2 linked regions of the Oreochromis niloticus genome follow. The protein of the gene in region 2 purifies or fractionates together with the protein of the main gene of each other region. This does not show direct contact. Links are inferred from orthologs where the notes say so. Each region holds a gene or a part of one and is shown on either strand. Other genes may lie near its edges.

Region 1 (3,752 bases), on a different chromosome or scaffold from region 2:
AAGAAACCAGGAAGCAGGACATTTTCTGTAAATTAATAGAAACCTTCTGTTTTATAATTACAGGGCAGCCTGGACAATGACCACCCAGAACTTTTTCTGTAATTTTACACATTTATTTCTTATATTTTATGCCCAAAGATTTGTGCGGACACATTTCTCTCATTTACAACAGCATTTCTTTAGCATGGAGGAAAACTAAGAAACACTGTTGAAATTGCATTCCTTTTTTATTATGTTAGGACATGTGTATTTAAACCAACAGAAAGAGCAATTTCACCGGTCCGGTCAACTGGGGATCAATACGTGCCACTCCTGTTTTTCATGTAATGGATATGTGGACTCCAACACTAAAGAAAAACCTTTCAAATGTGAAGGATTTTTGTTTTCTGTGATTACCATGAAAATTCATGGAAATAAATGCTTAATGTATATGTACCTTAACGATCATTTACAGTATTTCCCTTTACACACACACACACACACACACACACACATATATATATCTATATATATATATATATATATATATATATATATATATATATATATATATATAAATATAATTATATGTATAATCATATATATAATAATTATAAAATGTAATCCAATTATAATTTCTATGTAATTTTTTAAAGGTCAAAACATATAAACTAATAAATATTCATTCCTCAGTAGAAAATAAGCTTACATTTAACATCTTTTCTTGGCTGCATTTTACTTCCATATCTTTGAATCAGTCTGGGTTACGTTGTCTATTTGACATAAATACACATAGTAATAATAATAATATGCATATCATGATTTTATACCTGTGAAGTGATGGAGACTCTCTTCCAGCTGTGACTGATGTTTATATTCCCTGTGTGACCAGAGAGGGCAGGAGAGTTCAGCTAATCTCTCCCCGCCGTTCTGCCTCCTCCGCCGGGTTCCAACTCCCGCTCCGTCCCGCTCCCTGCTTCTACTCCCGCTCCGAGGTTTACCTCCAGCCTCTTTAGATCAATGGCTCCATACTCCAACAGGGTCTCTCGACCCTCTCTCTCTCCGGCTGTATAGCCCTACAGAGAAAAGAGAGAGAGAGAGTGGGTTCGACTCTTTCCCTCCACCCTCCGCCTCCCCCCCTCCTCTTCCGACCCTCTCCATCAGTCCTCCCCGGCAGACGGAGCAGACCTCCGGGAAGGCAGCGTGGATTTTAACCATCCTCTCATCTGTGTGAATGGGAAGCAGCAGCGAGCAGGAGTGATGGAGACTCTTCACTTGTAGTTACTGGAACTTATTCTCGACTCTAAAAGGAGGAAACTGATCTGCATTTGTGTATTTTGGAAATTCCTTTCCCTTTTTCTTTTCTTTGGGGGATCCTAGCCCGACTGGGGATCAGGGATATTTTTGGGGAGAAGAGAAGCTGTTTTACCCCCTCTCTTTCTCTCTCCTCACCATCCTCTTGACTCAACACACTGTGGGTTTTTTCTCCTTTATTTTTTATTTTCTTAATTAACTGTTGGATTCTGTTGAGGATTTAAAAACAAAAACAAAAAAACACTGAAAGAACAGCGGGATTGTGTGTGTGTGTGTGTTTCTGTGCTTCCACGGACTCATCGGGACTGGAGCAGGGCAGCATGGAGCTGGTTTTGGTTGGATGTACCGGTGATGTTTGGGAGGTGCTGGTGCTGAGGAGGAGGAGAACAGGAGGACTGTACCTGCTGGTGCTCTGCTGGCTGCTGGCTGCTCACACCACAGCGCACGGTGAGTGGGGGGGACATGCATGATTGCTGCCTCCATCCCGCAGTGTGTGTTTGTGCGTGAGTGTCCGTGCGGGCTCAGAGTGTGTGTGTGAGTGTGCGTGTGCCTTTGCTGGGTGCCGCAGACCTAACGATAATTGGCACATTTGTTGCGCGTCCCTTTTGGCTTTAGAGCCTCTGTTCTGACCCGGGTGGACTCGGGTCTGACCATGCGGGTTCCTGTATGTGTTCTGAGGCCCTGGAAGGTTTGACAAGCTTCAGCATGTGATCAATGTTGCCTAAGAGGTTTCTAGTTTTTTTTAAAATTATTATTATTATGTCTTTGTTATTACTTATGTTCCATTTTTACCTTCATTATAAGCTCCAGTAACCGAGTTACTGCAGTAGCTGTGAGACTGCTGGTCCTTCCCTCGGTTCTTGTGTGTTTCATGTGGCTGATCTGTTGGCTGACTGAGGGTTTGTTAAACCTTTCTGGATCTTTGCAGCTGGGTTAGACTGTCTGTGTGTTTTTGTGTTTTTTTTTTTTGTTTTTTTTACCTACAATCCCTTGTCTGCACCGGATTTTCTTCAATTACCTAAATTTTCAGTTATTACTATGCTTAATTTTAAATTGCTCTTTGTAAGTCTGTTTCACCTTCATTTCATAGTGCTGAAGTTTAGGCTGCTGGATCATATTGGTGTGTATTTTTAACTGCATATGCATCTCTTTACCAATTTGTCCCTGATATTTAGATTTAACTAATTAATATAAATATATATACATAGCTATATATACATATAATTTTACCAGGTTGCACTGAGTGTAAATAGTTTTTACTGGGCCTTAGCTAGTTTCTTAGAGTCTGATCATGTGCTAGCCTGTGGCTTTGACTGAATCTTTTTTCCCCCTCCTCTCTGGTTTAGTTTCACCTGATATGATTAAGTTTACAAGCCAGTGGCATGTTGGGCTGCTGGCTCTGATCTGCTTTTTCCAGGTTTTCCTCTCTGGCAGTCTATCTGTATATGAAACCAAGTGGGACAAGCAGACTGCAGTGAATCTTTTTAGTGGAGGATTATTTGTGTTTACCTTAATGTCCATTCGTTCCGGCTTACACTAATGATTGATTGGAGTGACTACTTTAATAATCCCAAAAGGAAGTGATCTATGAAAAACAAAAACAGAAATCCAACGAGACAGACAATTAATAAATAAATAACAGCTAGATAAAAAAAATCGAGTTTCAAGCCTTAAAGCAGGATCATAATCCAAACAGTGATCTTCTAGATTTCACTGTATTATTGCCCCAAAAATGCAAATAGTACGAATGCTGCTGTGCAGGGAGGTGCTATCTAGGTCTGGCTTTGACTAGGAAGCAGCACACTGTCATGAATATCACTTAAACACTAAGTGCCATCAGATATCCTAACATGTCCAACCCATCAGTGTAACACCCTCCTTCTTTCTTCTGGTGTTTATTAGTGAAGATACAATACGTAATCTAAATAAATAAATTGTATTACAACTAGATCTGTCACACATCTTGTTGTAAGCAGCTCATTTGAGTGAATTTTTAATTTAATCTTTGTTCAATAATGAAAATCATAAAAGCAAAAGAGCAAACACTGCAAAACCAAACAGATCAGAGAGAGCTGCTGGACTCGGGCTCTCTCGCTCTCTCTCTCTCTCAACCTCCTGCTGTCAATAAATTATGTCCAAACACTTTAATTAAGCTAATTGATGATATGAGAGTACACATTCACACAGACACACACACACAATGTAGCTGCTGGATCAGCTGAGCAGCTCTGACTCAGAGTGTGCGTGTGTTTATTTGTGTGTTGCTGATATTTCTTCAACAGCTCAGCCATAAAATCTTCTGAATATTTTACCCACACCAAGCATTTATCTGTGGGGAGGCTAAACACACACACGCACCCACACACGAACGCCTGACTCGCAAAACCTTCCTACACACCAATTCAGAAAATCTCCTGCACAGCTGAAGCAGGTCCTGCTCACTTTCACAGGTGAATCTG
Region 2 (3,752 bases):
GAGCACAATGAGGTTTAAAACCTGAAGCCTGAAGTGTCGTGAGGAAATACCATTCTTTAGCAAGACGCTTGTAGACCTTCTTGATCTCTGCCTGGCTTGCCCTCTTCGTTACTCCCAATATTTTGTATGGGTCCATCTCAGGCTCAGCGTAGACAAGTCCCGCCAGCAGCACATGGAGGACCGCCACAATGGCCAGTGGCAGAGACAGCTTTGACCGTGCCATCACAGTTACCTTCAACACATCAGAGGAGCGATCACCATTCATTTAAAGTGGGCAAAAAATGTTCAGGACCTATATTTTAGATGGCTTGCAAATCCGAGAAACCTTTCCCTCCATTAGCTTTCTGGTGATGGGAAACAGTGAAGGCAGGCACGATATGCTAAAAACAGTATTACAGCATGCTAACAACAGCACCCAAGCAAGCTAGGCGATATACGGCAGCTGAAAATCATATATAATTATGGTGTCATGTTACAGGGCCGTGACAGTAACGGTGTTCCTCGAGGATAAACCCTTAGTGTTAGTGGCGTTGCTACAGCGGTTGTCTCAACGCCACATCTGCACGTTTATAGTCACCTGAAGCAGATGCAGTCAGCCGGTACAACGCCACATAGTGGGGGAAGGTTTTGCCCCCTTATTAATGCCTCTTCTTGCTCAACGCTGATTCGAAGCGACAGCGAAATGTAAAGGGTGTGTTCAGCAGCATCCCACAGATCCTCCAGGGCAAGCCGATAACCTGCTGCTGCTGCTGCGAAGCTGGAGCGAGAGTAGAAAAAGGGGGTGGAGTCCGGTGTCGAAAGTCATTTCGGGAAATTGAGTGTTTTGTCGACAGGCTACGTTTCTTTTTAGTTGTGCGTTTGGTTTAATGCTCGTCGTACCGCGATTTTAGCTTCAGCTGGCTATCGGTCGCTACCCGCGCGGAAACGAACGCGGGGTAAATTAAATCTAACACACCCTCCCTTTTTTCTTCATCCGCCTTAAGTGGACCAATCACAGGCAACGCTGATGTAAACAAGGAAATAGCTTGTGAAACCGACAAGAAAATACGAACTGTAAACGACACTCCTACAACAAAGTACCCGTTTCACTTTTACGAAGAAGTAGATCATTGTGCTCCTTTGACGACATAGATTTAACCGTGATCGAAAACGAAATAACAAATTTTTAGTTACAGATTTTTTTTTTCTCTATTACGTTAGCATTAAATGGACAATGGATGAAACACACAAGAAGATTCTTCAGCGGAACAGGGTTAACCTGGTGACAGACTTGGATCCATCAAAACTCTATGATGGCCTTCTGGAAAAAGGAGTTTTCACCCAGGACATGATCGATGAGATACAGGTCGGTCATGACACTGTGGTTTTCTCTTCCTTTTTTTCTTTCTTTTTTTTTTTTTTTTGACCCGGGGCGGGTATAAAAAATTCATAATTGTACTCAATTAAGACTGTCTGCTATTATCAGAGCGCTGGGACCAGACGAGACCAGGCCAGGCAGTTAGTCCGGGACCTGGAAACCCGTGGGAGTCGGGCTTTCCCCTTATTTCTGGAGTGCCTTCAGGAGACGGGGCAGGAGAGTTTGGCAGAGCTCCTACAGAATGGAGCTCCAGCTGTTACCCTGCAGCCTGCAACACCCACTAAAGTTGTCCGCCCTGTAATCCAGCCTCTTCCAATTCGTAAGTGTATTTCATTATGGAATATTTAATGTGAGAGTCTTTAGAGCCAGACACTTTCAGATGATAAGAATTTGACTCATCTGTGTGTTCTTTGTTTCTTTAACAGCCTCTCCAGTTGATGATGACAATCCAAGTAAAGATGTTGTAAAGCCAAGTATCTCTCCTATTCCTAGTAAGCTATGCGATCCATTTAAATAACAGTCTTGTAAGTTTATTTGTGCTTAATGTCTATTAATGTGTGTGCCACAGCGCCTGACGGGTGGCAGTTAAGACCAGGACCAGGCAGAATAAGACGTGACAGCCTTCAGGTAAGCGCCATTTCTGTGCTGCACACTTACATGTTTATGTGACGGCCCTTTCTCTGTTTTCTTTTTACTCTGTGCGTCTCTGTGCCTTAGAGCTATAAAATGGATGCGAGCCCGTGTGGTCATTGCCTCATCATAAACAACATGGAGTTTGAACCTCACAGCATGCTGAAAAATCGCAAGGGCTCCAACATAGACTGTGAAAAGCTGGAGAGACGATTCAAGACACTCAACTTTGTTGTGGAAGTGAAGACGAACCTGAGACAAAAAGTAAGAATCGGGTCTTCTGCCTCTGTGTGTGTTGAAGGGTATTAAAGATTGCGGGCCTAACGGTTAACTCCACATTTCAGCAAATCAAACACGAGCTGTTGACTTTGTCCAAGAAGGATCATTCCCAGTATGACTGCTGCGTGGTCATCATGTTGTCCCATGGCACTGAGGTAAGATGTGCTGAGCTGATTGTGATGTTGTTTACAGTTCATTAAAAAAACATTGCATCCCTTCAGAATAATCAGCTGGAATACTCTGGAAATACACAGGATTTAATATTTTTACAGTTAATGTTTTAATATTTAACTGGCAAATGTCATTATTCCAGCAAGGCAATTTTCTGAGATCTACATCTGACTGGACTGACATGTAAGATGATTTTTGCTAATATTTCTGTCCTTAGGTGAATCACAACCGCTTCCCTGGTGCCGTGTACGGTGTGGACGGACAGTACGTACCAGTGCAGATTATCACAAACTACCTCAATGGCCAGCATTGCCCATCTTTGCAAGGCAAACCTAAACTGTTCTTCATCCAGGCCTGTGGAGGAGGTAGCTGTCACAGAACGCACGGTTTAAAAATTCATAGGAACAAGTGAGGTGTAAAAATGAGCTTGTGTTTGTCCCCAAGATGAGAGAGACATGGGCTTCGAGGTGTCCCCCGATGAGGTCGAACCATCCTCTGGTGGAATGGATGACCAGACGGACGCTATTCCGATGTCATCCAGCAGTGACTCCCTGAGCATGTCTGATGAACCGGACGCCAGACCCAGCCTGCCCACTCCGAGTGACATCCTGGTGTCCTACTCTACTTTCCCAGGTGCGTGTTTTGTTTTTTTTCTTTTAAACAAAAACAGCCTTTCAGATCTATGTGTCCTTAATACCTTTTTGGCCATGTGACCAATACAGGTTATGTTTCTTGGCGAGAGACTCAGGCGGGCTCGTGGTACGTCCAGACACTGGACTATATACTTGAGGAAAACGCTGCCACTGATGACTTGGTCACAATGTTGATGATGGTGAGCTTCTCTTAATATATCAGCAAAAATAACTGAGGACTTTAAGAGCTATTGGCTTTAGACACAGTGATGTCTGATTATTGACTCTTCCTGTTTTAGGTTAACAATGAAGTCTCCCAAAACTCTGCAAAAGGGCTCTACAAACAAATGCCTGGTTCCTTTAACTTCCTCCGCAAACTCCTCTACTTTCAAACCCAAACATAATGGATCAAGTGCGGTAGTCTGTGTCAGTTCCACATTTCACAGCACTATAACTTCTTTTTCAGCACAGTTGCAGTGTGTGTGATTTCTGACTCTGCTGTGAATCTGCTTTAACTGAATGGATCACGTCTTGTATTTTTAATATCTCTCTGTGTTTTCTAAGGGCTGATGGTTTCTAAATGAGCTTTTTAAAATACAGAACTATTACTGTGAAAATGTTATTCAGGTTATTTTTGTTTCACAGATACAGCAGCTGACCGAGGAAAGATAATCCATGCACTC

Evidence for each region. Proteins that work in one complex are often made in the same cells at the same time.
Region 1: the proteins of casp9 (region 2) and dcc purify together in Homo sapiens (co-immunoprecipitation; 3 studies listed by BioGRID and IntAct, with this or other methods). This does not show direct contact. The link is inferred for Oreochromis niloticus from reciprocal best matches to the Homo sapiens genes CASP9 and DCC.

Annotation. Positions count from the first base shown.
Region 1 is NC_031972.2:34,114,166-34,117,917, reverse strand, and holds the start of dcc (netrin receptor DCC), read left to right. Parts: upstream 1-1,150; 5' UTR 1,151-1,613; coding exon 1,614-1,740; intron 1,741-3,752. UniProt on the Homo sapiens protein: Receptor for netrin required for axon guidance. Mediates axon attraction of neuronal growth cones in the developing nervous system upon ligand binding. Its association with UNC5 proteins may trigger signaling for axon repulsion.
Region 2 is NC_031984.2:26,304,322-26,308,073, forward strand, and holds the start of casp9 (caspase-9), read left to right. Parts: upstream 1-1,010; 5' UTR 1,011-1,213; coding exon 1,214-1,345; intron 1,346-1,465; coding exon 1,466-1,676; intron 1,677-1,782; coding exon 1,783-1,848; intron 1,849-1,925; coding exon 1,926-1,984; intron 1,985-2,074; coding exon 2,075-2,251; intron 2,252-2,331; coding exon 2,332-2,421; intron 2,422-2,654; coding exon 2,655-2,802; intron 2,803-2,881; coding exon 2,882-3,070; intron 3,071-3,159; coding exon 3,160-3,269; intron 3,270-3,368; coding exon 3,369-3,473; 3' UTR 3,474-3,752. Other genes in the region: dnaJ homolog subfamily C member 16, read right to left, coding at 51-223. UniProt on the Homo sapiens protein: Involved in the activation cascade of caspases responsible for apoptosis execution. Binding of caspase-9 to Apaf-1 leads to activation of the protease which then cleaves and activates effector caspases caspase-3 (CASP3) or caspase-7 (CASP7).